Xenopus tropicalis: one gene and its partners. The main gene of each other region encodes a partner of the protein of the gene in region 2 in a complex. Links are inferred from orthologs where the notes say so. Each region holds a gene or a part of one and is shown on either strand. Other genes may lie near its edges.

The links.
Region 1: the proteins of myo5a (region 2) and spire2 are in contact, whole or in part, in a crystal structure (PDB 5JCY), measured with the Homo sapiens proteins. The link is inferred for Xenopus tropicalis from reciprocal best matches to the Homo sapiens genes MYO5A and SPIRE2. Residues at the interface, in NP_001369276.1 of Homo sapiens: Asp1551, Val1554, Arg1555, Thr1559, Ile1562, Asn1563, Lys1566, Ser1597, Gly1598, Leu1615, Thr1616, Asn1617, Phe1618, Asp1619, Leu1620, Ala1621, Glu1622, Tyr1623, Val1626, Asp1629, Leu1630, Gln1633; in NP_115827.1 of Homo sapiens: Arg404, Pro405, Arg406, Val407, Leu408, Leu409, Lys410, Ala411, Pro412, Thr413, Leu414, Met417, Glu418, Met420.
Region 3: the proteins of myo5a (region 2) and mlph are in contact, whole or in part, in a crystal structure (PDB 4KP3), measured with the Mus musculus proteins. The link is inferred for Xenopus tropicalis from reciprocal best matches to the Homo sapiens genes MYO5A and MLPH. Residues at the interface, in NP_034994.2 of Mus musculus: Asp1524, Val1527, Arg1528, Leu1531, Thr1532, Ile1535, Asn1536, Lys1539, Ser1570, Gly1571, Leu1588, Thr1589, Asn1590, Phe1591, Asp1592, Leu1593, Ala1594, Glu1595, Tyr1596, Val1599; in NP_443748.2 of Mus musculus: Lys184, Lys186, Arg187, Leu188, Leu189, Ser190, Phe191, Arg192, Asp195, Phe196, Glu197.

The regions. Positions count from the first base shown.
Region 1 is NC_030680.2:59,439,810-59,451,036, forward strand, and holds the start of spire2 (protein spire homolog 2), read right to left. Parts: upstream 6,685-11,227; 5' UTR 6,659-6,684; coding exon 6,406-6,658; intron 1-6,405. UniProt on the Homo sapiens protein: Acts as an actin nucleation factor, remains associated with the slow-growing pointed end of the new filament.
Region 2 is NC_030679.2:101,942,771-101,953,570, reverse strand, and holds part of myo5a (unconventional myosin-Va), read right to left. Parts: coding exon 10,759-10,800; intron 9,696-10,758; coding exon 9,693-9,695; intron 9,241-9,692; coding exon 9,238-9,240; intron 8,407-9,237; coding exon 8,242-8,406; intron 8,135-8,241; coding exon 8,037-8,134; intron 7,373-8,036; coding exon 7,286-7,372; intron 7,149-7,285; coding exon 7,040-7,148; intron 5,823-7,039; coding exon 5,611-5,822; intron 4,083-5,610; coding exon 3,926-4,082; intron 1,753-3,925; coding exon 1,513-1,752; intron 1,312-1,512; coding exon 1,063-1,311; intron 616-1,062; coding exon 522-615; intron 332-521; coding exon 186-331; intron 90-185; coding exon 1-89. UniProt on the Homo sapiens protein: Processive actin-based motor that can move in large steps approximating the 36-nm pseudo-repeat of the actin filament. Can hydrolyze ATP in the presence of actin, which is essential for its function as a motor protein. Involved in melanosome transport.
Region 3 is NC_030685.2:60,401,179-60,412,527, forward strand, and holds the start of mlph (melanophilin), read left to right. Parts: upstream 1-4,796; 5' UTR 4,797-4,861; intron 4,862-11,349. UniProt on the Homo sapiens protein: Rab effector protein involved in melanosome transport. Serves as link between melanosome-bound RAB27A and the motor protein MYO5A.

The DNA of each region.
Region 1 (11,227 bases), on a different chromosome or scaffold from region 2:
AGAGCTCAAAAATTATAAAAATTTTCCACGCCGCCTGATTGACGAGATAACCAATATCCAAGGCCTTTCCGATATCAATTGCCTCATCTCCCACCATACACACCGAATATCTTACAAAAATGGTAAGACCATTGCATGTATGGCCACCTTAAGCAATAACAAAACACAAGCGGCTTTTTGAAATTTTTTTCTGAACACTAGCTTACTTATGAAAAACCTCAAACCGAATAGTGACATTTTCATTTTGTCACAGAAAAAAATTTGGGCACCAGCAAGATATTGTTCCACTTATTCTCAATAAGGCTGAAAATCTTGCATGCTTTAATAAACTGGGAAAATAAAAGAATAAGTTGTTAGAGAAATGTACCCCTTTCTTTGCCGTACAAGACATGACTGACTAAGTAAATGGTAGGTTCCCATCATGGGAGACCCTGAACAATAAAGCTCCAGGCTTTTCCTTACTGTGGTACGAATACCTTTAGCTAAAACACTTTTTTACCCCTATATTGTTAGCAGAAAGAGGAGATCCCCTCACTTCTTTCACCTAGTGGTCCATGGCCTCCCCCAAAAAGGCCTGATTTTGACTATTTACAAACTATTAGCCAATCCCTTTAGGGGGAGAGCTATATTATGTATAAAATAACATGCAAAAGTGGGATACCTACATTAAGTAATTGATGAAAATGAATGGGAAGCCATATGGAACAACATGAAAAGAGGGATTACTTGTGTAAGGCAACAAAAAAATATTTATAAAATAATCATGTTCTGGTACCACACACCAGTTTAAGCTCCATGCACTGTTTCCAGAAACTACACACAATTGCTGGAGGGGATGCGGACAGCTGGGGGACCATCCCACATTTTTTTGGCTTTGCCCTATAATACAACAATTTTGGGATGAGGTCTTGACACTATTGCACCAGATCACGTTCCTAACCCTAGATAAGGACATCCTCACTTTTCTCTTGGAGAAGGCCTTTTAACAACTCTTTAAACATACACAAAAGCTGGTCAACCAGGTACTCTTGGTTGCCCGCATTTCTATCATAGCTAAATGGAAGACACCCACCATTCCAGCCCTCTCAGATGTGAAAACAGAGGGTTAAAACTTCAAACAATTTGAATATGGTTTGGCCCGGTTACAGAATAAACCGCCGCCCCAATATCTTATAGTATAGTCCCCTTGGGAATTACTTTCACATTAAGTTTAACCACAAACTTATGCACCCCATATAGCCACAGCCAAGTACTCCTATGGTATTTTTCTCCTTTTTCTTCCCAGTAATACCTTTTTTTTTTCTTATGTTCTCTGCTATTTTTTTTCACTAATGATGACGTATGAACAATTGTGTGGACGGTCTTAATATGCCTTGTTAACTTTACAACAAAGCAATAAAAATTGCAACTTACAAAAAAAAGAAAATGAGATGGCTAGATTTATATTATCTATTGTATTGCTTATCTATACAGACAAATTAACATTTTTTTTTAACAGATAGGTGAGGCTAGCAATGAAGCAGCCTTTAATGCCAACTACAGAACAAAAGAAATTATGAAACAAAATGTTATTGCTTTGGACTGTTAGTGTCAATTTGATACTAAACTTCTGCTTTATTTAATCCTGTTTAATATAAGTCTGCTCAATAAAATTTCCTTTTTATACCACAAGACTTTCATATCAAAAACACAAATCACCATGAGAGCCAGGGTGAATGCTTTCAGTATATTAACAAACACTGTATATATACAAAGACATGATGTTTAGGTACTGAGCCTAGCTGTTGTTGCAAATGTGTCAACTTCTGCATTATTCCATGAAACCTTAGTGCTAAACAGGAAAAGCTTTCTCTGCATGAAATTCTAGATGCTCAGAATTTATAGGAACTGAAGAGACTGGGTCTGCCAGACAGAGAATATGCTGCAAGAGCAATTTCCTGCAGCCCCAGGCCTACATACCCCAATCAATAACTTGTAATATCTTTATGATGAGCTGTAAGGGGTCACTCATCTATCCAATGATTAGAACATACTTTTCAAAGACATGTATCCTATTGGGGAATGTGTCATTCCTAGCATTCATTAACAGGAAGATGTGGGCAGGTAGGTTAAGACATCTTATTAAATGAAATTGCATGTTAGCTTACAATGCACTAATTGCCCTGTAACTCACACAAAGACATGTGTCTGAAGACATAAATTAATCAGAAGTATGTAATAAATCTCCATTAGCATAGTCTATATGCACGTGTTTCTGGATGATGTCATGCTAAGGCAGCAAGACAGAGAGCACTGAAAAAGGAGAGCAGCGTAGTAATAAGAAGTTATGAGCACAAAGGGATCCAGCAACACTAAAGGAATCTCCAGAGAGAAGGTCTAGTGTGCATTACAGCACGAGTGGGAAAGTGCTAAAAAGAAATGAGGACAGGCAGCAAGGAACAAATCATGGCCAGATTGGCTTTGAGTGCATTATGTGAAGGTCAGAAAATAATCCCTGCCAATATTAATGTGTAAAAAAAAAAATATATATGAAAAAAGACAAGCAGAAAAGGTGTCAACCCTAAAAAGCACTGTATGTGTGATTTGGTTTAGGATAGTGTCTGGAAAGAAAATTAATTCATAAATAGAAATAAAAATCTAGTGATATAGATCAGGCCTGGCTCACAGTTAGCATTGCAATCCAATCCAAAGGTGATCAGTTGTAATAAAGTTAGAGTTTTTGCAGACCAGTCAAGTTCTGTTCTCCTGAAACAGGAAAGAGCTTTTACCAAACTGTTGCCACAGAGTTGTCAAGAATGTAATTATACAGTGAAGCATTATGCTTAGCTTTCAATGGATTTAAGGGTCCAAACTATGAATATCAGCAACATGTCCCATAAACAACCAACCAACCAATGTATTACACACCAAGTCACCCCAATATAAAGTATCTAAATGGACAAACAGAAAGTTTGAATCAACAGTAATGACTATCATATGGTGCTTCAGTACATCACATTCTACAACAAAAGAAAAAATAATTTGAGTAAAGTGTATTTTAAATAAGATTCATGCCAATGCTTTGATGCTAGAAGCTCAAGTACATCACTCTAATTATGAATTATAATCTGAAGTCAGAATGGCAGATTATGGGACTGCCAGCCACTAATGCAGCTCATATAGGATATGTGTGCCCCACTGAGTGCAAGTCTTCCTGATATTTGCTCATATTTTAGAATTACATCTAATCTGTACATTGCATTTTGCAGTGTTGCCAGTTTCCTTGCACCTTCTCTGGCTACAATAATCATTTTGTTGATAAGAACACAGCAGATTTTCTTTCAAAGGGAAACTAACAATCATAGTCATGTCACTTTTTTGACAACACCATGGCAATTATACTTCACACAGTGGCTTTTTAGCACCCACCTGACCTTGCAGGTGTAACGTGGCTTAGGTAGTGGTTTGCTGCACACATGCATAGGAGAATGTCTACGACAGCAACATAACTTCCTAACCAGGCCACACAGTTTTCTAAACAATACGCACTTTTGAATAAATTATCCCTTGGATATTGGGTGCTGAGGGCGATTTTTTCTTTCTAATATTGTCAGTATGCCTGTCTATTTAGTTAAATAACTCCTGTAGTACCTGACAATTTAAATTGCTTACTGATTTTGTTACCTTACCTTATTTGTCCTTCACAATGCCAAGGTTTGCCTCAGGGCATGGAAAGTTTTAGTTTCACAGATTGGCAAAATGATGAACTTAAATACACACATGTATGCATTATTCACGATAAAAGGTTGAACTTTGATACAATGATCAGACTATCGAAGAACTCTACGGTTACATGCCAGCATGCCAGCATGCTGGCAGTTTGAAAAGTAGAGGAAAATTTCTGCAACCAATCAATATATTGCTACACTTGGTGCTAAAGATTTTCACCTCCAGCCCTGCACCAACATATGCTAGGCTTTAGCCATCACAACTGGCATACACAGAAAGTCAGCCACCAAGTCATCATTAAAAGGAAAACTAAACCCTAAAAATGTATATGGCTAGAAATGCCATTTTTTTTTTTTAGAATGAAATTACTGCGCCAACCTATAGGTTCAGCAGCCCATTAACAATAATGATCCACACCTCAGATTTGTTTGTTTACTGAAACTGTGATTTGGTATCTAAGAATATATATTTTTTTTTTCACTCACAGTGTGAGACTGAAACGTCGAGTAATAAACTTTTCTATTTTTGCATTTCCATTCTGCTCGCAATTCTTTAAATCCTAGGAGCGCTGCCCTTGTTCCAGTAATAAAATATTATATGTATATCTATGTGTGTATATAAACACAATGCAGAAGAATGACACGGAACAGAATATTCTGAATCAATTTTACAAAGGTTTATTTTGCTCAAAGTTTCGGTCCCCCATCTTTGTCGGGAGTCAGTGAAACCAGATCCACAGTAGTGTGACAGGACTGCTCTCCATTCATTTATTGATTTATTATTATATAATGAGATTATATATATATATATATATATATATATATATATATATATATATATATATATATATATATATATATATTATATGATTAGATGAGTCAGCTGGAAATATTAAACACTATTAGCGAGACAGTAAATGAAAATTTTTGTTTATAATATGTGAAAAATACTATTTATATCTAATATCAAAATATTGATTACAGTGAAAGCAAACAATAGAGTAGCGGAAAATGAAAAATAAGGTTTCTGTTTTCAAAACACTGTTTTAAGATAATGGGCTAATTATGCTGGCTTGCATTAACAAAGCAAGTCTGGTGATTAAAGTCAATGCTGTTACTTCTATGTCTGGTTATGACGATGCCAACAAAAACAACTTTACAGCCTGTGAAAGAACTAATCCTCTTTTCTTGTCTGTTGCCAACTACCCAGCTAAGATCATATGTGTTTTTGAAGTTAACCATAAAATTTTTTTAACTGACATTATGTAATGCTATTTCTGCCCCAGTTCATCCGGCCTTATAACTTAAATGTAAAGGTTTTCTCAGTATGCTTCTAAAAGGCAGCTCTAAAAACAGAACTGGTTCCACTATACATACAATGGATCAGGGGAGTGAAAAGCAGAATGGAATCCCTTTAATCTATGCAGGATCACATTTGGCTCAAAATGTGAATTTGAATGTATCTATGTCAAAGACATCTAAGCTGTAGCTATCATAAATAACAAATCCCAGGAAGAACTGGGCTTTACAAATGCTGGGGTACCCATGAGATACAGAGGGCTAGTGGGGCACTGAACAACAAGCAATTCCAATATTTGAGGTGCCCTCAAATTATTTTGCACTAGGGGCTTGAGAAATTTTAGTTACTCCACTGCAAGGTAGGATTGCTTTATTATGTTCTTGGGAGTGATATCATAAACATCCCACATACAGATTTACTATGCTATCAAAATACCGTGACATGCACTGAGGCCAGGGTGCTGTGTGCGCTCTGCAATGCAATGGGGGCAGCTGGGGCTCACTCCTGGCATGATGCTACTGACAGGCCTGCTGGCTCACTCCTGGCATGATGCTACTGACAGGCCTGTGCTGCATAATGTAAACAATAGTCAAAAGCATGACAATTCAGCTATTTGGCTTGAAGATTCAGGTAAGTCTTACAAAATATTAAGGTGCTTACAACATGTTCCAGAGCCAGTGCCAATATGTTATAAAGCTGAAGGTGAGTCCTCACAGCATTACATACACATTCCACCTGTGTGCAGCTTGCCCAGCCTTTTCCCACAGGCAGGTGCTGGCTCTCAGCCTAGGGAGCACCCAGCATGTTGGGTTTAGGTGGTTTTCTATATAAAGAATTGGACAGACAGGTGCCAAAAGCCTTGGTAGGGGGTACTATAGGAAGGAGTTGGTACAGAAATGAGAAATTTCTTCCCAGGTCGCATTTTATCTCCCATGGTTGTTTTCCTTAGCTGCTACATTTTTAACATGCCTTTCCCAAGCCAGGAGTGCCCAAGGCGTGCCACACACACAGAAAGGCTTGCAAGCAAGGTTATTATAAGGGTGAATGGGATATCCATGGGGCAGTGGAACACTGAGTCAGGCATGAAAGATGCGCTTATGGCAAAGTGTCACACATCTGCATGTTTGTGGTGCGCACACAAGTTACTCATCCCGGTACTTTGCGTGCCTGTAACGTTTCTCTCTACTACTCAGTCCGTGTAACTCTATCTTCCCCCGAGTTTGCGCCAATGCTCAGCCCCAAACCCTCCACACACCGTGCCATTTCTTACTACTGGCCTTACAAGCGTTATGTATAGGATTCGTTATAAGCAAATAACGTAATAGTTCTCCCTTTGTGCCACTAAAGTGCAAGCTCTTCGCCACAGGAAGACAGAACACCATACAGAATGCCACTCACCCGCCGTGCCCTGGGTCTCCGGTAGAACGGTGATTGCCCCATCCCTGTGCAGTAGAAGACAAGAGGGATCCCGAATTCTGCCCCTCGGTGGCCAAGGCTGCCCAAGCAGCCCCCGGGAACATTGGTAACACACGGCCCACGCCTGCTCCTCATTGATCGGCTGTTCGTAGGATTTCAGCACTTCCTCCAAGGACAGCTCCCCGCTTCCCCCCGGGACCCCCCCGGTACTGCTACTACTGCTGGCCTGTGCCATACGGGCAGCAGCTCCATCACCGGGCGGCTCGGCACCGCAGGCTGCTCTTCATCGCACGGCCGGGCAGGCAGAGTCCGGTGCAGGGGCTGGGCAACCGCCTCCCTCTAACCCTCCTACCGGGACCGTGTCATCATTGTTTGGGGAGGAGAGGGAGGTGGGGAGAGAGGGAAGTTTGAAAATGAGGACAAGTGGGCTCTATAAAGCGAAAGAGGATTGAGGACAAGTGGGCTCTATAAAGCGAAAGAGGATTGAGGACTGACCAAAAGCCAAGAAAGGGGTAAGTGATGCGATAGCAGGTGGGAAGGTAGGTTTCCCCACAGCGACCTGAGGCGGTTGGGCACAGGCCTGGCAGCTGCTGTACGAGTGATAAAACATAACTGAGTGGGAGTCATACAAACTGCCTGTAAGGGAGAAGCGAAGGATTGAGTAACGTGAGGTAAATGTGCAGCCCAACCCTGTGCAAAGCTCAGCCCCTATCAGATAAGTGCCAGCGCACTCACGCACCCTCAGTCTCTGAGCAATCCCTTTCTTACTGCGCAAACTGAGCGCTAATTGGGTGGGACGGCGCTATACGGATTATAGAGAAAAAAGGGGAACTTCTCCGGCTTCAGTCCAGTACAGTACTACAACCAGTGTTTGGTAAATGGTAGTTCAACCTGCTATTTAGTTGGTGCTAGCTAGAAGTGCTTTGTGGAATTCCAAAGATCACAGACTCTCTCGAGATCTTTTCTGACGCCATGGCAACGGGGACATAGTGATCCAGTCCTGGCATTGGGAAGACTATCCCTTACCATTTTTTTGTAAAGTTGGTTGTAGTCTTAAAATGCTAGAACTGGATCGGTTATGTTACTGGTCAACATGACAATTTTTTAGGGCTCTCTCGCAAATGCAAAAATAAGACATTATTTGCAAAGATTTATTGAAAAAAGGGCTTAGTGACCCACTAGGCTCCGTATACTGTACTTTCTTGGCCCAAGAGCATGTTCAGGGTCTCCTATCTCTTTAGTTAGGCATAGACTGCCTCACCTGCTCCTTCATAATGTCTACTTGGTCGACATTTTTGGGACTACTGGGCTTGAAGGTGAACTTTGTCCACTGACAGCCCATAGGTTCAGCATTTCAGCTGTAATTTTCACCATGGTTGGACTGGGCTGGCAGAACACTGGGTCCCATCAACCCAGACTTGATCCCCACTGGCACCCCCCCCCCCTGATCTCGCCTAGGTAAGTATCAGATATGTGCACTTTGGGGGAAGGGCAGGGTGTGTGTGGGCAGCAGGGGCCCCTGGGATGCCAGCTCTTGTTGGCCCACACAACCCAGTCTGACTCTGGTTACCACCCACTATCTGATACATATATACAATTCCATTTGTCTCCCTAATCAATAACTAATTATGGGTCATACCAACAACAGCCTCAGCCTAATTTGGCCCACCACTTGGATTTCCAAATTGGGCAAATAATTCCAATTGAGCAGATCTTCCGGTGTATGCCAGAGTGTTGGCTCCACTGCTCTCAGCTTGTGCTTTTTAGGCAGGAGGAGAGAAGTGGATCTACTCTCTTCCTCAGCTCCATGTCTCTTTACTGACAAGTACAGCATTTGCTTGAGCTGCAGAAGAGACTGGATAAGCTTCTCTCTGCCTGCCTAAAGGCAATGACACACAGAGCTACTATATGTTGCAGCTATGAAATAGACAATACTGGCAATTGTCTCTATGTGTTTTAGCAGAGACCAGTGTCGGACTGGCCCACCAGGATACCCGGAAAACTCCCGGTGGGCCGAGGTGTCAGTGGGCCCTCCAGCTCCTGATCATTTGGTCTACTTCATGGCCATTTCCTATTTTTGAATGGGAACAAAGGTGAGAAATAGATGGAAAAATAGATGCTAGCATGTAAATAAAAAAGACTAGGAGAATAAAGAGGTTGATTGAGCAAAGGGGGGGAAAATAGTTTGAAGAGTGGGCCTATGGTTTAAGGTTTTTTGGTGGGTCCCTGGCAGAGACAGTTCTCAATATTGTCTTTGTAACGCTGGATTTGCCTTTCAGACCACCCCCATTCTCCACCCCCCCAGGATCGCGCATCCGTACACCGTGCACATGGAGCAATGGGGATGGGATGTACTGAAGTTTTTGCTGCGTCCCGTCCCCAGTTCTCCGTATGTGAGTAAATTCAAGTCCGGTTGGGCGGCATGCCACCCCAAAATTTATGCCGCCCTAGGCCCGGGCCTGTGTCTATGGTAGGGTATTCCGGTGTTTTGTAGCTGTGACAAGTAGCTGGCTACAAGTAGCACCACATTTCATAGCCCTAAAAAACATAGGCAGAGAGCAGCAGAGCACACTCTGTGTGACAAAGTGCAATATCTACAGCACAGCAACCTGTTAGATAACACTAGTTACTGCAGATCAGTTTAGTAAGCTTCTATTTATAGCTCATACACATACTTTGCACTGTGGGCGTGTAATTATTACCATTACCTTAATTATTTGTTTTACCTAATCAGGCTGATAGAATCTACCTTCTGTGTCACCTGTAAAAAAATCTTTTTTTAGGCGTTAGGTCAATAAAATAAGCATGTGTTATAATTTATACAGCCATCAATGTTTGCCAAAATTAAAATAAAATCTCGTCATGCTCCCTTTAGTCTTTGGTTACGTATAATTTTTTTTTCTCAATATGGTTTTTATTAATTTGGGTAACAGTGAAAAGAAGGGGGGGTAAGTACACACATCTGCATCTTACATGCGTTACGTATACTTTGCCTAAAATCTGGAAGGAAGAACTTGTTACAAATGTTCATTACTTTAATTAACTTTTTCTGCTCTGCTTTCTTTCTGCAAACCATTAAAAAGCTGGACAACTGATACACAACATGCTGACAGTGCATTTTGACTCTAACTGTAGTGAAAAGGGTAATGCCAGATAATAGCAGTGTCTCATTTAGGAAAATTAGCCTTTAAGAAATCTGTCTCTCTCTCAGCTGTGCATTTGGCTCAATATAGTACATAGGGATTATTGGTTATTGCCCAACATAGACTGCTCTGTGTTTGAGTGATCATCACTTGTACAGGGCAACCTTCTACTATTTAGTTTGCTCTCAAATGGAAATCAATTGCATTGAGAACCAGGTATTGATTGGCGCTGCCTGCAGTAGTGATCAAAACACCTGGTATAATGGGGTATATTGCACCATTGCGGGTTGCTATTATATTAAACACTGTACCTCCATCTTGTCTTTAGTCCTAAGGATCACTAGCAGCTGCCCTGGGTGGTGTGCATATACAGTAGAGATAATTTTGTGCTAAGTTTTGACTTTATGTTTGCTAAAGAGATTATAATCACTGGGGCAGGAAAACGACCCTGTGGTTGCAGGGAGGCACAGACTGCAGGGTCTGCTTTCTCTGTAGTTGTGTAGAAATCCTCCTCCCCAGCTGTTCTACCTGTGAGTGGGCAGGGGGACCTGGTGCCATGTAGTTACAACACTGACTGGGGGGAGCCTGTCCATTTGGCACCCTCCAGTTATTAACCCTTCACTCATCCTTTAATAAAATAACATGTCATAAAATGTATATTATAGTCACAATACCTTGGAAAGGCAGCATTTTTGTTCACTTTGGTACAACTTGATGTAAGTTTTTTGGATCTCACGTTAATAATATCAAAATGGAAGTTAAATTCAAAACACCTTTTGACATAAAAATTATTTGCATAAGATAGGGTTAAAATCTGAAACCAGCATAAAATACATTTGATTTAGATTTAGGATAACAGCACTTTTTGTGAATTGGTCTTACCAGTATGGTTGCCACTTCATTAAGCCTGGACACATGAACTTCACATGCTGAATGGCTAAATAGCAACTACTTTATATGCCCATAGCAGAGGTGCAAAGAGACCAGTGCAATCTGAGGTATGCAGCTAAATAAATTAAACACTTAATTCAGGATGTGAGTTAATTGGTTCCTGCTGAAAACAACCCTAGTGTGGTAGAAATTTTAGGCTGTAAGCTCCACTGGGACAGGAACTGATGTAAATGATATATATGTATCTCTAGAAAGCACTGTGCCTTATGTCAGAGCTGTAATAAAAAATAATATTAATTTTAAAAAGTGCCTGATTTTAAAGGGATGAGCTGGGTTTTGGTAAGTGATTTGTATAAGATGCATTGACAATATGCTGATTTTCTAAAACCAGCTTGTGACTTGTGTAAGTGCTTGTGTTATGAGATGGACGTGGGTGGGCATTGAGTGGAATATGTTTTAGGACTTTAGTTTCCTTTTAATATTAGATGTTGTGTCTTTCCTTGCAGACAGTCTTGCCGACAATGAAATGCTGATCTTCCTGTTTGAGACATTATTATATTTCCTCACACTGAGGTTACTGGATGCCTACAAGAGGATGTGATATTTTTATTCAAGGTCACATAATGGGTCTCTTCGGAGACTTTATTGCTAGGCCTATGCAGTGCAGCATTAGCTCATCCTACAAGGACACAGGAGGAGAGCTTAACTTTGCCATTTAAATAGGATTTCAAACAAGAAAACAAAAGGCAGGCTCATTTAAAAGAGAAAGA
Region 2 (10,800 bases):
GACTCTGTGATCTCTGAACTAAAAGTGTATTCTGATTCATTGCTGCTATGAGTAGAGTCTGTGCGCTTGTGTCCTGGCTTTGGAGGACTCTGTAATTAGAAACCCATGACAAGATAAATGGTTTCATATCAGCAAGTGGTTTTACCGTTGTAGGTCCATTTACACAGTCACAAAAGTAAACGCACCATGGTATTAATTTCATCTTTAAGGTCATCATATCGCTCCTCCAGGCGGCTGTACTCGTTTAGGAGATTCTGGTACCTCAGTCGTTCATCATTCAGCTCAAGCTCCAACTGCTTTGTTTCTTCTATAATTTTCTTTTCCATATCCTCTATAATAAGGCAAACACAATGCTTAAAAACACTGCCTTTAGCCTTTTAACTAAAACACTATACTATTCATTTCACCATCCTAGACATATCTACAATTTCTACTTTATTCCCAGAAATGCACTTTTAATGAAGTCATTTCATGCAAAACAACTGGGACTTCACCTAGAAGACACTTTTTAGACACCATACCTGTCATTTTTTTTGCCTGCTCCTGGATTAAAAGATTCAGTTCCTCTTTCTCAGCTTTCAGCAAAGCATTCTGTTCTCTCAGCTCAGCAACCAGCTACAAAGCAATAGCAAATGTCAGGTGGTTTCAGCTAATAATGGAATTCAGAAACTAAAAAAAAAAAGGTGGCCTTTAGATTCTGTTGCCACTGCTTAATAGGTATTGTTGGAGTTACCAAACTTTGAAAGGATTGCTAGGGAACAAATAACTGATACTCCCACAGGTAGTGCGTGTTCTGGCCCAATTTAATAAGGTCTCCATCATGAGAAAACAAGCATTATCACAATTCGAAAGTATTTTTAATGCCTTCCTTTGAAAATGTATTGCAAAGAGAGACAAATCATTTGACATACATCACCAATCTTTGGGTAATGGGCTGAAGTAACTGTAATACTGTATGCTATAATTGTTAAACATATAAGCTGACTGCAGTAGCACAATCCTTAAAGGAGTCATTTAATTTTTATTTCATGCAGTGGCACTAAGTATCTTATCAGTTCCTACCTTTTCAGTCTCGGTCTGGTACTTCTCTGCCCGTTCCTCAATCTTGTTCTTTTCCGTCTGTGTTTGCTGCAGCTCTTTCCTAAGCCTGGCAAGCTCGTCCTGCAAGCTGACCATCCTGTTTGCTGCATTTTTGGCCTCCTCTTCAAAATGGCGCAGTCTGTCGACGTCGCTTCTCAGCTTATCTTTTTCAGTATTGTACGTGACCTCCAGGTGTGTTAGCCTCTCCAGCAAGGATTTGTTGTCTTTATTCTGTAAATATACAGAGGAGTCAGAGACCACAAAGACTTCCTTTGTAAAATGGTATTTTTAGTTTTACGTAAATATATTTTAGCCTGAAATTGTAGATCAGCCATATTTCAAACTCATTTAAAAATAGTTGTCAAATTATAGGTTAGTTGAGCATGTATGTGTTCTGCTGATGTTCACAAGAACATATAAATGATATAGTACCTGCTCATCAACTTTACGCTGCAACTGCATGATCTTGTTTTCCATCCCATTGTTGAGTTTCTTGTAGTGTTCCACTGAGCGTGCCTCTATCTTTAACTTCTTCAGCTCCCTTTTGGCCATCATCCTGCGGTAACAACACTGCAGGTACACAATAGCACTCAAATTTCTCTTATAAGTGACACGGGCTAACCAGCCGCGCACATGCTTCTGGATGATGGTAGCTTTGTGTGCTCTAAGCATCTGCAAAGAGAAACAATACATTAATAGAGTTAAAGGATTTATTTACTAATGACAATTAGAATTCAGTATACTGAACAAAAATGTGATTTGCCTTTTTAACACTTATTTGAAACTACATATATCTGTGTTCTGTACTAAAAGCATAATGTTTCTAAACTATGGCCAACTGCATCTAAAGCTGGCCATGCATGTTCAGATTTTAGTTGTTGTATGACAAACATTTGGATATTGATTGTACATTTTAATGCAACAACATCAAACTAACCAGTCAGCTTTTAACTTTAGGATTAAAGTTGGAAAAATAACAAATTAGACAATGTTCTGGCCATGTATTAACAGACAAAAATTGTAGCAGCTGCTATAGTACTGGTAACAGCACCAGAAAAAGGACAACATTAAAAATATAACAATATGTATTATTGCTATCCAACAGAAATGTTCTAACCTGTCTGATCAACTAAACGACCAATCACCATGGTACAATTATTCAAAACCCCCACACAGGGCCCAAAAATCTTGTGAAACTTACTTGTTTTGTACTATTATATCATCGCATTTATGGCCAGCTTTAGAGACATATAGGGTTATGCAATGAAAGGCACTAAGTTTGCCCAAGAGCAGTAACACATAGTAACCAATGAGATTTAGAGATGACCTGTAAATGCTACCTACTGATTGTTTGCTATGGGTTTATGCTCCTGGGTAAACTTAGTGCCTTTTATTACATAAACCCAATAGTTGCCAGTACAATATTACCGATATACAATATATTAGGTTACAAATTTTACTTGGAGTATTTGGAAAGGACAACATTGCAAATCTCGATTTGAGAGAAAAATCTTGAATTAATATGTGATTGATAATATAGAGATAATGTGTTTCATTTGTAATTGATAGTCACCACTATGAAAGGCATTGGTGTTCTTGATACAAAGCACTGTAAGGATGTAGGAAGGAGCACTTTCAGAATGTCTTCAAAGGATTTAAAAAAAAAATGGGAAATAAAAGTTATAGAAAAGTACTTAATGGGTGAGGTCACTGTTCTTTACAGTAGGCACATTGAGCAAAAAAGGCTAGTTGTGCTGATTATGCTAGCAAGTGCAGTTGCAGCAGGGCGACCATACCAGTGCTACTACTATTTATAGTAGGTTTTCAGTTGTGATTTGAAATAAAAATGTCAACTTACTTTAACCTAAGTGGATTTAGTTGCACATTTGGGAAATGTACAATGGAGTCTTAGCTGCACTGTACATCCTAATCATGAGGACAAACCATTTATAGAAGTGCACAGCCTCTATGACTTCATTAAAAATTGTACCTTCCCCTATCATTGTGGCAGCAGGTAAGAGAGGGTAATAAAAGACTAGGATAGGGAATAATGTTTTTATATTTTTAAATAAACACAGCACTGATTATATAGATAATTGTCTTTAAAGGGGAACTATTGTGAAAATTAAAAATAGAACATTTTAAATATAATCTGTGCCATTTCTGAAATAATCAAGTTACTCTTCACTATCCCCCTCTCATCAACCTGTCTTTCTTCATTCTCCCTTCATGCAGAAGTTGGGGTCAGATTTTGATTGGTCTAATACATCGTATATGGGCTTCCTTTCCTAGCTAACCCAAATCACTAACTCCAGCACATATAAAATAACCGACTTCGGTACAAATCCTGCATGTAGAGAAACAGAATTTCTGCAAAAGCCAGTTATTTTGAAAGAGTGAGCTCTAATACTTCTAGGCAAAGGGCGCAATCCCCCCCAAAGGATGTATTAGAGCTAACTGTCGATCCAAACCTGACTCCAACTACTGCATGAAGAGAAAATGAAGAGATAGATTCCCATTAAGGCCAGAAAGAGTGTCAGGGTCATGGGGCAGATTTATTATAAAAATCGGAATAGCTTTTTTATGCATTTTATTTCTTAAAGTGGCTTCCGCCCAAACTTACCTACACAAGGTCTAAAGCAGTGTAAAATAACGGTATCAAACCTGGGGTTTGGACAGTGTAAAATAAAACCCACCTCGATACATTTGCCTTTTATTTTACTCAGCCTTTTTACCGTTTTTTCTGTGAATTTTATTTACACAGCCTCATTAATATGCCTATATATGACTGAGTTTAGGTGGGTTTTACGGGAGTCATTTTTACTATATTTGAATAATCTCTTACCCCCTGAAATCTCTTCCTGGCTGCATAACCACGCATATACGACTGGAGAGCAAGGGTAATGGACTGCATATGACGGTACTTTTGCCGAACGACATACATCCTTTGGAATTTCTGGATAATAATCGCGGCCTGTGTTCTACGCAGAAACTGTGCATAACTGAATACATAAAGTAAGAAAGAAATAAGCAGAATTGTAATAAATAAAAACATGCCAATAACTGAAAAAAAGACTCATACTAATAGCTGCTGTTGCCAAAGTCAACAATTACCTGCTCATTCAGTTTGAAATGTGTTGGTTTTCCTTGGCTGCTTGTTTGTGTTGTAAATAACAGACCCAGTCCTATATTTTCTAATTCAGCTGATGTAAGGTATAAGTTAATAGTGTATATAACGGTTTTCTCCTATGGGACTCAAAAAACTTTATAGCAAGCAAGGCCCCCACTATTAGGTACTTTAAGTATGCCAGTACAGTACTTTTTGAAGGTCACAAGGAGCTGCCACAGGAAATTGAACTAGAGTCTCTAGTACGAGATCCGACATCAAAGGTTGATTACTTAAATGGATACTTTCATGATTTTTACAGTTTACTTCTAAATTACACTGTTTCCATGGAAAATAATTCACTCTATCATTTCAAATGTTCTGTTTTAGCTGTGATATTGGTGTGTAGGCAGCCATGTCAGTGCATTGTGCCCGAGTCTGAGCTTTCAGAAGGAGCCAGCGCTACACATTAGAACTGCTTTCAGGTAACCTATTGTTTCTCCTTCTCCCATGTAACTGAAGGAATCCAAAGCCGGACTTTCTTACTACTGAGTGCTATTCTGATATCTACTGGGAGTTGCTATCTTGCTCCCTTCCCATTGTTCTGCCGATCGGCTGCTGGGTTGGGGGAGATATTACTCCAAGTTGCAGCTCAGCAGTAAAGTGTGACTGAAGTTTATCAGAGCACAGGTCACATGGCTGTGAAGAATATGGGTAGCCATGTAAAATTTTAAAATGAAATATAAAAAATCTGCTTGTGCTTTCTGCTGGAGAAGCTCTATTAACTGATTTGCTTTTTTCAAAGCACGTTTTCCATGATAGTATTACTTTAACCTCTAGGTCAGTTATAGTCCCACTACAAACTTAATTCTACATCATGTACCCTTTACTGTTGGGCTCTAGGCAGGTACCTAAGCAGTAGAATTGATTTCCTATTCTGAGATGAAGGGGCAGATGTATGAAAATGTGAATGAATAGAACATGGGTGAGTTTTTATGTATTAAGTTCTAAACTCACATTTTGGTAAATCTGCCCCTAATTGTGCAAAGGCAGTTGCAAAAGCAAAAAGGTGAAAAAGTACCTGAAGTAGCATTGGTTGGTTCAAAATACATTGTACAAAGTAGGGATGGAAGGGATGTATATGCAAAGGCAGTTAAATGTTGGGAGAGCTATACAGCCTTTAGTGAGATTCACTCAGGATTGCTGGGTGTGCTAGGCCATGTGCATAACAATCTACCCTCTGCTTGGGCTCTGCTAAACGTCAGGTTTTAATTGCAGAAAAAGTAAACACTCTACACCCCCCTAAGTTCTACTTCAAAACCACAAAACTATATTTCCTCCATGTTCATTAAAGCCAACACCAATATTGCACAATATGTAAAACAGAATTTATGAACCAATGCAGCTTCTGGGGCCTCACTTACCATCGTGCCTGGTATCCTCTGACGTAGCGCTGGATTGTTATGGCTGCTTTCCTCATGCGCAAGTATTTCTTCCTCAAAAGCCATCCTCGGATTGTCTTCTGGATCCTGATACAGGCCATTCTCAGCTTGTCTGCTCGGATCTTCTCCAGATAGGCCACTTGGCCAGCACGGAAAAAAATCTTTGTCTTACCAAACTGGTACTTATCCTTATCCTGTTACCAATAGAAACCCAACACATGAATTGGTTGTGAGAAAGAGAAACTAAAATGGGATAATACCTGTTCTAAAGTCAATTTAAAAAATTCAGAAGAACAAGGGAAAATTACAAGCAGTTCAATCCAAACTCTGTGGGGGCCACAGATAAATTCATACAGTAACTAGATGAATCAGTAGATTAGTCCACAGAATATTTTTTAAATTTAATGTTTGTATGCGAAAGGAAATCATCCATTTTTTGCATGTAAGCATTTTATGCCTGCTGGGTTTTATTATTACGGAGAAAAGGGAAATCGTTTTTAAAAATCATTTTTTTTTAATTAAAATGGAGTATATGGGAGAGAGAGCTTTCTGGATCACGGATCCCATACCTGTACTGGAAAATCACCAAGTAGGTCATATTGAACATCTGTATTTTAATTACAGAGGAAGCAGAACCTGCAGCTGCAGGGGAGCCCAGGAGTATAGGGAACCATGGGAAGCCCTAATTAATAAGCAATTTCAGTATATCTTGGTACAACAGGTCAAATTGCCAATATGTTGGGGCCCTAAATTAAATTTGCCATCGGGCCCAATAACATCTAGCTATGCCACTGATCAGAAGTGTATTACTTTTAATAACACACAGGTTTCAGTAAATGATTTACCACATGCTATTCATGGCTGCTTTAGTTTAGCTCTGTATGTTTAGTTTCTGTAACAGAATAATTCACCTCTTGCACCTCTGATAATGATTCCAGTGTGCAGTCAAGCTGTAAAAATGTCTTGCTGCCCAATGCTATCAGCAAAATATTGCAGATTATCATTGTGGCATCATTGAGAGGCTGACAGAGAGACTAAACCTTGAAATAGATTTTGTAAGCAATAGTTTAGACAACAGCTGTTGCTTGAATTAATGCTCTACATCAACCAAATACAGGTCATAAAGGATGCAAATAATGCTCTATGATTGATTTTAGATTGATATAAATCTGATTCAATAGTACTGCATTTCGTTCTTTTAATATGTGTGTTGTGTCCAATTTGCCACACATCTACTAATCCACTCCATAGAGAGTTTACTGCTAATGACCTAGATTCACACAGTCAAACTTTGTTGCATATGGTATGGCATATTGCACATGGAAAAACTGTGCTGAAGACTCAGGCCTAAAATGATTATAACTACAAGCTCTATTAAAAAATATATATTTTTATAAGAAGTTTGACGTACCAAAATAAGCTTCTCCAGAACATTTTTGCAGGTTTGCTTCCTATCACTGAGGACATCTTTTTGCTTCATTAAAACACGATATCTGCTAAAAAATTCCTGATATGTCCACCTATGACATGAAAAATAAGGAACTTATTAGTGGCTTGAACAGTTAAGCTCTGTGTAGCACATATCTATCCATTAAATGAACTAGAAGTATTACATTATGGCACATTACAATGTGGAAATGGAAAATGGGGGGCATACCTAGAAGGAAATCCAGCAGCACTGATTCGGATGGTTTCCAGGACGCCACAAGCCCTAAGCTGCTGCACTGCTCGTTTAGAGTCAAATCTACAACAGGGATTTAAAAATTACATTAAAAAACAAATTAGTAAATAAGCATGTCTTTTCTTATATATTCTAGTACAGAATGTAGTGTACACTGAAGTAAGATCTGCACAAGTAGGCAGAAAAACTAGGTCACTCCTCTAAATGTCACCTGTCCAGATGCTTTTTCTTAGCCACATTAGGTCAACATTTTCCTACTCAGAATAATTGCTAAGAGTCATTTTTATAACATAAGACTTAGTTTAGAATTAAAGAGGCAGTGCACCCCCATGTTTAACATGAGTTCAATGACTCATGTCATTTGCTGAGCAAATTTTTCCCTTTTTTTACTTATCACCAGAAATCATTGTTTTTTATTTCTTGAGCTAAACAGGCACAATAAAGCTACTCCAGTTGTGTTTCTTAGATTACCAGTATACAAGCCCCTCCCTCCAACCTTTGTTGTGACCGTTTTGTACACAGGGGATCTCTAATGTGGAGTAGCTGTAATATCCCCACTGTTTAGTTAAAAAATGACCCATTCTAGTAAGATACTATTCTCTACCAATGTAACACAATAAATGAAATTTCCGGTTCTAAATGTTATTATAGAGAACCATATATAAACAGTGCAGCAACTCATTGTTACATACATCCAATGGATTATAAGCACACACAGTTTACATACGTGAACGGGTACTTGAAGTCATTTGGCTTAATGCAACGGACATAATGTGGAGTTGTGGCATTGAGAGTCTCCATCAGAAGGTGAAGGGAATTTCTGAACTGCAACAGAAACGAAAGACAGTGTCAGTAATCAGAGCAGACACTGGATCTATTTAGACATCAAACTGCGGGCAAGAGTTGTACTAGATATCGTTTTGTCATATTACCTGATGTCCTACAGTTTTTTTATGCTCCTTGCTTGTCTGTTCAGGCTTGGGCTTGAGGGAACGCAGACCAGTGCGGGATAGCAGAGTACGGCCTGAGGGTGGTGCAGAAGATGTAGGGCTCAAGATCTGCTCCTCTTCTTGGAACAGTTCTGTTAGCAGTGTAAACTAGGGAGGAATTATACTTCATTAAGAATAAATATGTAGGAATATAAATACTGTTGTATATTGTCTTATCCTTTTATTGTTTGTTTTTATCATTTATTTTTCCCCTTAAATATTGTGGGCAATATAGTTCCAGGACATTACTAAGAACATTTATTCTCTGCATATCAGTGGAATGTTGTCAAGAGATCCATTCCTGCCTACAAGAGGCGCTGCTGTTATCCGTTTAATGCGGTCTTTCTCCTGTCTGCTACTTTAAAGTTGTATCTGGTTGGCAGGCTTATTATTCTGTATGTAGAAATCACAAGAGATTGCACTTGCGCATAAACAAACCCATGCAAATGATACATGGTGAGGTATGGTCAGTTAGGTGGGCAATTTTATATACAGTAGTAATTCTCCTGCACAATGCATTTAGTAACAACAATGGGGCTCCCTATTTCACACTACTATACACAAGCAACAATGTAACAGGTGAGCCCAACTGGCACACAAACTAGTAAAGCGGAAAGAAACAGATTTTCAGACGTGCAAGGTAAAAATAAAATGAAGCACTTCTAGTTCCTAGGACCGGCCACAGAGAGCCAAGTACCTAGTTTGTCGATGTATTACAAACATAGAAAATACACTTAGCAGGATTTAAATAGGTAACATTGCTGCTTTACTGAAACCCCTAGGACACTGAAGAACTTGATCTATTCCGGTGGCATGTACCATGCTGTTGATAGTTCAAACCCTCCCTACATCGCCACGCCATGCAATTAGAAGCAAAGTATTATGGGCCTGCTACAGGAAAGCAGCCATTTATTAGGGAAGCTTGTCAAGAGTTTTTACCTTCTGATGAGCATGTTTGAATGGAATATGGAGGAGAAAAAAAAAGAATAAGACATACCAGCTACAATATTTAAAAAACACTATTAAAGTTATATTAGAACTGGGCCACAATAACAATATCTATAGACATTAGAATAACAATATTTTATGCCCATAACACAAATATACAACAGTTACTGGCAAACTGTGATACCCCAAAGCTCTTGCATCCTTCATCCAACCTAGATACATTCTGTCACATCCAGCTAACAATTCTACTATATTTTAAGTTCAGGCTTTATTGCCTGTACTGCTCTATAGATAATCCCAGGGACACTGCAGAATTTAATCGTGTCATGATGTTGATGGTTCCAACCCTCCCAATTGCCCCATGCCATGCAATTAGAAGCAAAGTACTGTGGGCCTGCTACAGGAAAGCAGCCATTTATTAGGGAAGCTTGCTTAAAAGATTTTACCTTCTGATGACCATGTGTTGAAGGGGATATGGGGAACAGAAAAAAAAGTGAATAAGACTTACCAGCTACAATACTTAAAAAGTACTATTATTTTTGGTAAAATATGAGAATTATAAGAATTACACTGTGCCAGAATTAGCATAAGTCCATAACATAAATCTAGATCAGTTGTTAGTAAACTGTGACACTCCAGAACTCTTGCATCCTTCATCCAACGTATATATGTATATATATTCTGCTGCATACAGATAACTATTATGCTACATTTTAAGACTGGGGTGAAGAAGAAGAGAGAGTTGTTGACCCCAGGATGATAGGTACTTGCATTTAGGGCTGGCCTTAGGCCAACTGAATATGTTAGGTCAAATCAGGACCTGTGCCCATGGGGGCACACGCACACTGGCATATCTGACAACACCAGCTGCCTCCCTCCAGAGTGTCCATAATATAAATCACACATAAGAATAAATTATTATGTCTGTGTGGGGCTTGGAGCTGTCTCTGTGTCTTGAAATACTTCTGAGCCATAGAATGCTATGAAATACAGTGTTATGACCTACTTGAGAGCCAGTGAAATAAAGGGGAGATAAAATACAAGGATCCATAATAAGAAGGCATACAGTTAACAGTCATATTATGAGTGGCGTTTTCTTCCCAAAAAGTAATACAGGTATAGGACCCGTTATCCAGAATGCTCGGGACCAAGGGTATTCCGGATAAGGGGTCTTTTCGTAATTTGGAACTCCATACCTTAAGTCTACTAAAAAATCAATAAAACATTAATTAAACCCAATAAGATTGTTTTGCATCCAATAAGGATTATTTATATCTTAGTTGGAATCAATTACAAGGTACTGTTTTTAAAATTCTGATTACTTGATTAAAATGGAGTCTATGGAAGACAGGCTTTCCGAAATTCGGAGCTTTCTGGATAAGGGGTTTCCGGATAAGGGATCCCATACCTGTACTGTACCCTTACCAATAAAGATAAAAAATCCAAAATATGCACAAACTGAATGTCAGCCCTGGCCCCCAAATACAGAATAAAATATTTTTCAATACCAACCTTACTTGCTTTCAGCACTTTAATTTGTTCTTCAAACACTGT
Region 3 (11,349 bases), on a different chromosome or scaffold from region 2:
CTAGAGATAAGAACAGACTAGGCAGAGCTGTATATCCCCAAATGCTGCCTAGCCTTCCCATCCCCGCCATTGCCCTTTTGGAGTCAGGAAGGAATTTTTTCCCCATTTGAAGCAAATTGGACATGGGTTTTTCACCTTCCTCTTGATCATCTAGATGTTTGGTAAATTAAACCCAACAGACACACTTACCCTCAATTACTATATAACAGTGTCTTTTATCTACTGATGGGACACAAGCACATTTCTCATCTTAACTCCTTACTGGATAGCAAACTACAGAGGGAAATTATATAGATAGTAAAATGGAATCCCAGTCACGACTACACTGGCCATAGGATTTGCCACAGAAAAAGAGAAGACCAGTGAGAGAATGTGGATGAAAAGAACGTGTGTGTGTGTATTGTAGATATCCCAGTAGGGAACTTTTTTCCTTACACCTCCCAGTTTGAGGAGGAAGGGTCCCATGACGGCTTATATCAGCTGGTGCCTGGTCAGATGGGGAACTATTGCAGTTAGAATAGAAAATATTGCAAGGAGAGAAAGAATCCGCATACTCTTCTTTACATTATTGAAGTATTAAAAACCCAGATTTATATGCTTGTACACTGGAGCCAGTAACTAAAAAGATTACAGGCAGCACTCCATAGTATCATTAAAAATGCTTTTATTATCACAATATGGACAACAGCAACATTTCAAGCCTAATTGTCTGTGTTGTGATAATAAAGGTATTTTTAACAATACCATGGAGTGCTGCCTGTAACCATTGGAATTCATGTGTCCAGGAGAGAAAGGACCCTGATGGATGTGCCTCCATTGTTGAATCTTGCAATAAAGTGAGTGCTACCTATTGGGTTTGGGCCATTAACTAAAAAGCTCAGTTTGAAAGGAACAGTTCAGTGTAAAAATAAAATAGGATAAAAAGACAAGCTGTGGGAAATAAAAAATGTTTTTAATATAGTTATTTAGCAAAAAATGTAATATATAAAGTCTGGAGGGGAGGGAACTAAATAGCCAGAACACAACTTAATCTCTAACCTGTTAGTCAGTCGGCCAATAGAATGGGGACCACATGGTACATTGCTGCTCAGTTAGTTTGTTTTTGGTCCTGACCTGTGTGCTTAGCAAACTAACTAAACAATTATGTTCCATGTGGCCCCTCTTTAAGTTGGAGAGCATATCCAATGGGTGTGTATGGTTCTATTCACAGATTCTATTCCCACAGTGCAACTGGGTAGGTTTCCACTCACACCAAACCAGGATTCGGCCAAACATTTTTAAGCAGAAATCACACAATCCAAGTGCCTGAACCTCTAAATATCACATGACTTTTCACCACGCATTTAAGAAAATTGCTAAATTGCTCATTTCTTCCCATACACTGTGCATGCACGGATCTTTTTCCTGTTACAGGGCACACCTTTGCATATGCAAATTAAGGTTCAGGATTTGGCCAAATCCTGCATGAACAATTTATTATTTACCCTAACCCCTAAAATAAGGATTTAGTGCATCCGTAATTAAAAGGAAGTTCATCATTAATTCACAACCAGTTCTTGAGTGGTTAATCTGACTTACTCTGGGCCACATTAAAATAAAAGCTTAATAAACACTGGACTAATCAAAATCTATACTGGAATACCAGGTATGACTGTGTTAACATTTATAGAACAAAACTGATATATTGGAATATTTTTGCTTTACAAAAGGGTTAGGCAGGGAAGATGTGGACTACAAATAAAGAAAGAAGTGGAGATTTAAGCTTGTGGGACAGGTTTCTATTCCGCCACAGGCCAAGTCAGTTATAATAATGTAAACAAGGTAAACCAAGGATAGCTAGAAGGAAGGGTTATATGTTGCAGAACATGACCTATGAAGGCCATTAATCAGTTACGGGGTAGCACATTTTATTATTATAATCCTTTATTTAAATGGCGCCAACACATTATACAGAAGTTAATTTAAGGTTAAGTCAAGTCCTTGTCCTGATGCCTCATAAAATATATTAATAAAGGTGTCCATCCAGGTCATGAAAAAAACAAAGCAACAAAATGGGTGTTGACTTTCCGCATCCATTGCACTTAATCGATCTTCAGTCATTGCCATTTTGTGCATGATAAGAGAAAATCAGGAAATATTCCGCCACATTCCTCACACAGGTGACCACTTACTTGGGGTTCATCCGGCTGCATCTTCTTCCTAACTAAATTTTGTATCAGTCAGTTTAGTATATTTTGCCTTCCTTTTGGTTTTGGCATAGTGATATCACCGCCTTGTGTTTGCTGCATGTTACAAGAGGAACCTTGTTTTGATCATTTTGAATAATGGTTACATGGTTTCCAGATTTACAGTACTTGAATCTATCGCATTGAACTTCAGAGATATTCTGGTATTCTGAGTGATTATACCAGATGTGTTGGTGGAAGTCTGGGGGTCATCTAATATATTTCTGCTCTGGCAGAAATATATTCAAAACAGTATGCAAGTAACTATGATTAACACAGAAGGCATTGGATATGGTGTGTGGCATATGGTGTGTGGTATTGGATATGGTGTGGGGCATTCAAAATTATTTAAATTATTAGTGCAAGGCTTGAAAACCATGTACCCTCCTCTGGAATCTCAGCACCTACACTCTCTAATATGGCCCTGTTGCCTGTAGAGTATTAATAAATGGCAAATTAACATAATGGGTTGGTGGGTGCAATGTCCATGGTCACTTCAACGAACAACTTTAAATATAAATACATATTTGTGTGTATGTGTGTGATTTGCTTTTTCTCAGTTTTATATTTTTTTGTGTAACAATAATTTCACATTTGTAAATCTGCCCTGAAGTGTTACATATCCAGCAGACAAGCTGCACATTCCTTTTTCTACCACTAGATGGCGAGAAGTCTTCATATCTTCCATTGCTTAGAGCAGTGATCTCCAACCAGTGGCTCATGAGCAACATGCTGCTTACCGACCTCTTGGATGTTGCTCCTAATGGCCTCAAAGCAGGTGCTTATTTTTGAATTTCTGGCTAGGAGTCAAGCTTTGATTGCATAAAAACCCAGTGTAATTGCCAAACAAAGCCTTATGTAGGCTGCCAGTCAACACAGGGGCTATCACATAGCCAATTATAGCTCTTATTGGCTCCTCCAAGAACATTTTTCATGCTTATTGGCTCCTCCAAAACATTTTCCCATTTGTATGTGGCTCACTGGTATAAAAGGTTGGGTATCCCTGGTTTAAAGTGATCCCCAACCAGTGGTTCGGGAGCAACATGTTGCTCACCAACCCCTTGGATGTTGCTCCCAGAGTCCTCAAAGCAGGTTTTATTTTTTAATTCCTGGGTGGCACGTTTTGGTTGAATAAAATCAAAATGTACTACTGTACTAACAAAGCCTTCTGTAAGCTGTGATTCTGTATAGAGGCTACCAAACAGCCAATCACAGCCCTTATTTGGCACCTCCCTGAAACTTTCTATGATGGTTGTATTGCTCCCCAAGTCGTTTTACATTTGACTCTGGCTCACGAGTAAGAAAGGTTGGGGACCCCTGTTGTAGTATGTTTGTGGTTAATCAAATGAACATATACCTTCCACAGCAGTGTTGCTTTATCCAAATGTTAATTGACTACAACAAGCAAGCAAGAGAATCACCAGTTCCACTAAACACAAGAGCTCACAACATTTAATAACAGTGTCATATTGGCAGATGTGGATTATTACTAAATGGGGCCCCAGGCAGGATAGTGCTTTTGAGGCCCCCACCTAAAACTATAGTGTAAAAAGTAGCCTACTACCCGCTCACACTCCACCCACTCCACCTCACTTTACCTCCTTCCACCTTAGACTCACCCTGTATATCCAAAACTGGAGGCAACACAGCCTGATACGATGAGAAGGGAAGTGATGTGATTGGATTTGTGATCAGCTGCATCAGATCCACACCATTCATATTTTACAGTTTTGGGGACTAGGTCAGGTCACCTAACATGTAATCTGGCCCTGCACATTGGCAAGCAAAACCAAAGGTAATTTTCAGTATGTTATGTACAGAACTGGGTGAAGTACCCCAGTAATGATGAATTTCAATAAGGGACATGATAATACAGCAGTAGAATCTATTTTACTGTTTTAGATACTCTTGTGGGGTCATTTACATTTACCCGGTGCCTAATGCAGGTCCTACTCTATTCAAGGCACTTGCCGCAGGTCTCTGTGCTCAAAGTGGAACATTTTCTGTGAGACCCAGTAATTCTTTTTACACCACTGCCTATTTTAGCACAGATACTCAATACCTGGTCTGACACAGCCAACACAGCTTGTACAAATGATAATATAGATTATAATATCTGTACGATTGAAAGCTTCTACACCCACATTTTCAGCAGGAGATGGGCACATCACACACACATTACACAGATTTGGGTGATGAAGCTTCATGCAAGGGAAGTGAGTGACAGTCTCTGCCTGCCTGTGGGTTAATGACTGGAAGGGTTAGTGAGTTCTCCCTGCACTTAGGGTAGAGATGTATCAAGCCTCTGAGCACTGTAAGGACATATAAAGAATTGGAGTGGCTTGCACAAATAGTGTGATATTTCAAAGGACCTGGAGCAGGGGCCCTATCCCTTCCTGATTCATGAATATGTTGTGTTTCCCCAACTACAGATCTAGATGTGTGCCCTTGCTGTGCCCAGCCCTGTGCTCATGTGATGTCTGAGACTGATTATCAGAGGGTACTGCAGCTACCCCCAGGCTTTGGGAGGAGGAACATGTGACACAGGGCAGGGCAGTAACCCTCCCTTCACATAAGTACACTCTCTCACTAGACAGCAGGCCAGCCCAGGCATTCTTGCAGCAGCCAGCGAACAGGTAACTCATTCCTTGGGACAGGGCAGGCTTCACCCATTGCTGTGTATTCTGTGTGCTACAGTATAGTACTAATATTAATGCAAAGCTTCTTACTGGTGTTGGATGGTGTTGGTGACAGGCAGGCTCATCAAGGCTCATCAAGGTTGGTGTTTACTATGCAGAATGGTGTATATTTATTGTTATTATCTATTATTTATTGGTAGTTGGCACAAAGCAAAGTACAGAATGAACAGGAATATAATACAGTGATCAATTGTCGCATTACAAGGAAAACAAACTTTAAGTGCATTATAAGGAGGAGGTCTCTGCACCAAAGATCTTACAGTCTAGCAAATAGTAGTTTTGTGTGCAGACCCAGAGGCTGCCAATGTGTTCTAAAGATGATTGTTTTGATAATCAGAGTGAATAAACTCACCTTAAATACCAGGTGGGGATCTGCTGTTTATCATTAAAATGATTTAATAATGTGTGAATCTACCCTTTCTGCTCATTGCTGCTTAAACCTTGAATTGTTTGGTTTCTGGTATATGTGGGAGTGTTTATATTAGGGCAGTGTATGGAGCTGTTTCTACTGATTGCATTGCCCTCATGCTACAGCTACCTTGTGTGCTGCTCCACAAAAGCAAGTCGGTGATATATACATGCTCTATAAGGGCTGTAATATACAAAAGTGTCTTTTGACAAATTATACAAAGCAGAAATCTAGCTGACATGGGCTAAATCCCCTCTCATCCACAACGGCCTCCGTGGATCGAAAATATATCCCATGATCCCACAATACACCTGCCCAAGCAGCACTTACATTGGATGTAAAGGCTAAAATAACATTTGGGCCAATGACATAAATACTAAGCAACTTTCCAATATACATTAATCACACATTTTTAGTGGTTTAAAACTTATTTGTGTCTTTAAACAGTAAAGCAGAAGCCAGGTGACTGTGAGACTACTTTTACTTTGTTTCAAGAGACTGAAACAGCAGTGGTGAAAGGAACAAAATAAAAATACTGTATTTACATTTCCAAAATAACTTTAAAAACTATGTCACTTTGTACTTACTATATATTGGAAATTTGCTAAAAATTCTATTTTCAATAAGGCACGATTTACATTTTGGGCATAAATCCCCTTAAATGAAAGAGCTTGCACAGAATTTAGCACAGTGCAGTACTCTGGCATAACAATTATTATTAATCATGGTTTCTCTTTTTATGTATCAGTGAAGGCATTTTGGTCAGTGCCCTGTAGAACTATAATATAAGATATTGTGATATTTTCTGTGCCTGCCTTTGGTTAAGATGCTGATGTGTACCTTCCTCACTACAATCCAGCTTTATGGCAGAGTATATGAAACTTACCTTGTTCGGACAGCAGTCGGCAATGTGATATTATTGTGCCCATAAAGGGTTAAAACATTGCTTTTTGTCAGTTACTTTGCCCCTTGTTTATCTGGCACCTTGTAACAAAGCTCACTTTAGAAAAAACATGTTTATACTTTATATATAAATACAAAGAATTTAGATTTCACTTGATGTTTAGACTATATCGTATTGGTACTGCTGTGATGCACAAGTGCTAGCAAGGCCCCCATCTCTAGGGCACATTGGTCCAAGCAGCAGTTTTAATTGTGTATTGGGTACAATCAGGATAGATATCCCTCTGTATTCAAAAACAATAAATATATTAAGATATATCTGCAAATAGGCACCAAAGCTGTTGCCTGGGACCCTGAAGTTCCATTTGAATCCAGTTTGTTTAACCATTATTACATCACATTACAAGATGCCACTGGGCGCTTTAAATAAAAATGTGTTAATCTTCCGACTTGATCTTCACAACCGTCACAGCCATTTAGTCATGAGATTCTCAGAAAAACAACCAGAATCAGCCACCATGTACAGATCACTCCGTACCACTTGATTTAGACCTGAAGGCTCTGCTTCTAATCAATTGTTCATCTATCCCAATTTATGCCTCCCACAAAACATTCACAGAAGTTCCAGATCCTGCTGTTTCGGCTACATTGTTACGGGCACAGTTTAACTAAAGGGAACAGAAACTCTTTTTAAGTATCACTTATTCATTGTCTGTTGAAGAAATAGTAAAATAATTGGGTTTATCTTACTGTGTTCCACTGAACTGACAAGAAAAATATCCCAAGGATACAGGGCTGCTCCAGCCATAAAGCAAGGTGAGCATTTTACCTCTGGCGGCAGGGAGGGGCCAGTAACCAAGGGCAGGAAAAAGCTGCCTCTGGTAACTTTAAAGGGGTTGTTCACCTTTGAGTTAACTTTTAGTTCGATGTAGAGAGTAATATTTTGAGACAATTTGCAATTGGTCTTTTATTTTTCATGATTTGTAGTTTTTTTAATCATTTCTGTTCAGAAGCTCTCCACTTTGGAATTTCAGCATCTATCTGGTACCTAGGTTCCAAATTACCTTAGCAACCAGGGAGTGGTCTGAATGAGAGACTGGTATTCAAATAACATAGGATGTGAATAGAAAAAAAACTTGTAGAAAGTAACAATAATAATTAAACTGGAGCCTCACAGAGCAATATATTTCTGGCTGCTGGGGTCAGTGACCCCCATTTGAAAGCTACAAAGAGCTAGAAGGAGAAGGCAAATCATTAAAAGAACTAAATAAATTAATAATAATGATCAGTTGAAAAGATGCTTAGAATTGGCCATTTTATAACATACTAAAAATGAACTTTTAGTATGTAACAACAAAATATGTGGAGGATAAACACTATTGCCCTTTTATGTCAATTCTATAGATTCCACTTGAAAATGGCCCTCACAGCTGGAACTTTGTACTCTTCTTACTGGGTGTAACAGGAAATAATCAATAGCCCAAAGGAATGTAAATATTCAAGAGGTGGGCACGTTGCCATTTTCTTAAAATATCCAGTTTTGCTGCAATCTAACCCCAAGCTATGGCTTATAGTTACAGTTAGCTTCACAGCCAAGTTCCCATGAGTTTGCTGTTTGTTTATACATTTTAAGGCTTTTCTATCCTTTATGTGACTTAACCAGAAGTACCAACATCTGACAAAAATGCCTCTATGTCTGTGCCTCACTCTGAAATAGTTACCCACACAAATAATATGATCAGACATTAAAACACATGAATATTATAATTATTAGCATGCACAACTGGTCCTTTCCTATGATTCCTGTATCATTGCTATGTTATTCTTGTCAGCGCCCATGGCACAACCCTGCAGCCTAGTGTATTCTGTTGTTTTATGGGCAGGTAGAGCAAAAGTCAGTTCTAACTGGCAGCTCAATAGTTCTTTAAAAAGTATATACAGATCACTAGAAAAAAGAGCTGTTAATAACAAAAAGTCATTTTAAAATGTAAGAGGGCATGTACACAAGTGGAACCTTCGCTTAACACATTTCATGGCCTCTTGCCACTCCCTCAGAAGTATCAAGTGTTGGTTCCACTTGTGTACTTGCACTCTTACATTTTAAAACGACTGAATAAAAATGACTTTTTTATTAACAGCTCTTTTTTCTAGTGATCTGTATATACATTTTTACAGGACTAGTTTGATGCCTTCTGGGAACCGGCTATGACCAGTAAGTGCTCCCATGAATTAACGAATACTAACTGGCAGCTCAACCATATACCAATAAGCATGTGTTTTGTTGTGCATGGATTTCCTAAACTAATCTATTTGGCACAGTTTTATAAGCTTATTTTAAATATCATATTCTTTCCTTGAGATCATCATATGTTTTCTTTATGTACATATTACAGACACCACTCAATATGATTATCCACATTAGCTACTGATCTAATGCAATAACTTTTTATGGCTCCCAAATCTTAGTGCATTTGTTTCTCATTTATGGACTGTGCATCATTCTGGGCTGTGAATTGACACTTAAGCTGTGTTGTATTCTGTCATATTAGAGATGGGGATATACAGGGTTTTGGTTGCTCTGTCTCTGATATCACTTTATATACCCGTTGTACAATGTATATATAAATATATAATTTAGAGATCCAAGAAATATTAAGCATTGATATGGCCAAGACCATACTTAGCCATATCAAATCTTGCAGGCCCTGGTTCCCCGCTTAGTCCCATTAGTCCAGCAATGTTAGAGCTGGGCCAAATCTTAGCAACACCGAAGGCAACCCCTCTCATTAATCCCCCCCCCTCCAGGTTACAGTGAAGTGGTAAGTGGGAGGGGGCTTTGTGGCAATGAGCAGGATTGGCAATGCGATGTGCCACCATCACTATTAAGCATTGCATCACTGCTCCCCCTGCCAGCTGACTGCAGAAAGTTAAAGAAAGCCTATCCAGGGATAGAGGCAGAAGAGATATTTGCCTAGTGCTACCCTTCTGTTGCACCCTAGGTATGTGCCACCTATGCCCACTCCTAGTTCCCTGAGCAATTTAGACAAAAGGGTTTGTTGTTTGAAATAATTAGGGCAAAGGAACAAGTTTAAATGTGAGAGGAGGGGGCACCCAAGTTGTGTCATCACATCCAACTTGTGGTAGGGGCAGTAATGCACTCTGCACCTCATGCCAGATAAAAAAGTCCCAAATGAGGTACAGAGCCCAGCATTGGCAGGGTGTTGTTACCTTATGTTATAGGACAGGTGGTAAGTACAGGGCCCTGTTGCATACTGCTTCTGCCCTAACTTGGGCATCTGAATGGAATGCTTTGCACTCCTGCCCCTCACCAGTACACATTGCTTTATTCATAGATGTGGTCACAAGCCTCCATTTTGGAACAATTTATTTAGCCAGGAAGGCAAGTTGCCCTTTTTTTTTAACTTTGCACCCTACGTGGTAAATTACCCTACGTTTACACCCTCTGCTGTAACTGTTTTTTAAGCAGAAATGCAATATGCAGGGGGATTATCTGTGCACTGGTAATGTAATGACCTACCTCTCGGACCAAACAGGAGAAGCTTCAGTTTCCCTCATTGCCCTGTTTAGCTCAAGAAATAACAAAAAACATAGATTGTCAATTATTTAAACAATAGGCAAAGCATGTATAGCACAAGCCCTATTTGTTGCACTTATATTGAACTAGGGAATATACTGTTCCTTTAAGAAGAGAGAGGAGTAACAATTGGTAAGAGATTACAGGAAAAGGCTGCCAGCCGCAATAGGATGTGTATAATGCACTGGGAGTTGCCAAAAGCTCAGTAATTAGCTACCAGTTATAATCAAGCAAAGCAAACAGTGAACAGGTGCCTAAGTAAACACTGTATTGAATCCTGTATGTACCTGCAGGCGGGATGGAAAGAATGATTCTGAGAGGTGAGAACCAGTGCATGGGCAAGGGCAACTCTAAACTGCGCATTACACTGATATATGTGTATGTAACCCCAGCTGTATAAAATATAAGGATATTTGAACTTAACAAAGAGTTCCACAACTCCAGCACAATAACTTCAAATTTGCTCATATTTTGCAATGGGGGTACATTATTATTTTTAATACAAAGGTTTCAAATGAAAATAGTCACTAGGATCTGAATAGCCATGGACTCCCACCTGTTCTGTTAGTTGGCAGATGCTGGGCATTTGTTATCCCTATTTTATCAGTACAGCCAATCAATGCTAAAAGTGAGAAGGCCTAGGGAAGGGTACCCGGAATATATGGTAGTAAAATGTACATTTAGGGCTGTGACACATGAGGAGATTAGTCGCTCGCAATTAATCTCCTCTAGCAGTTTCCTCGCTGCTTCTTGATGCGACTTCGGGCGACTTCGGGAAATTGTAGGGACGTGTATGCCATCCCACTGGTGATTTACATTTTTGCCAGTAGGATGGCGTTGCAGGGAAATTATTCGCCTGTGGTAACGAAGATTTGTTATGGGGCAACTAATCTCCCCGTGTGCCACTGCCCTAAATGCCAGAAAATACCCTGCATAGACAATACTAAGAATTGCCACTGCACACGTAGAGACATGTATCAGTAAATGATCAGCACTGTCTATTTTTGTAGCCGTGACAAGTAGCTCTGTGTGTCTTCGCCCTAAATGTTGCCACTGCTTGTGTCTGCAGCAAGCAAAGCGAACTGTGTCTTATCAGCCAACATACTTACAGGAATCTTTGTGGGCAGGCCAGTAAGATAAGCAAGCACAGACAGTAAGCTGCTTACACAAAAAACAGATATGGCAAGTAGGCTGTAAGATCTTCTGGGCGGGGCCTATTCTCTTCTTTTATTGTTATTGGTTGTTTTTGTATGTTCAATGTATATACCCATTTACAGGTTTGGACTGGGGTGTGTGAGGCCCATTTGGACACAGGGGCCCCCACACCCCCTCAGGGGCCACCAACCTCCCACTCACCCACCACCAGCCCCTTCCCCACTCCACAAGTGTACCTTATACTTTGCCATGATCAAGGAGGAAGGGCTGTGATGGCAACCGGTGGGATCAGGTCTGGGTTAGCGGGGTCCATTGTGTTTTTTCTGCCGGCCCATTCCGACCCTGCCTATTTATTGTATAGTG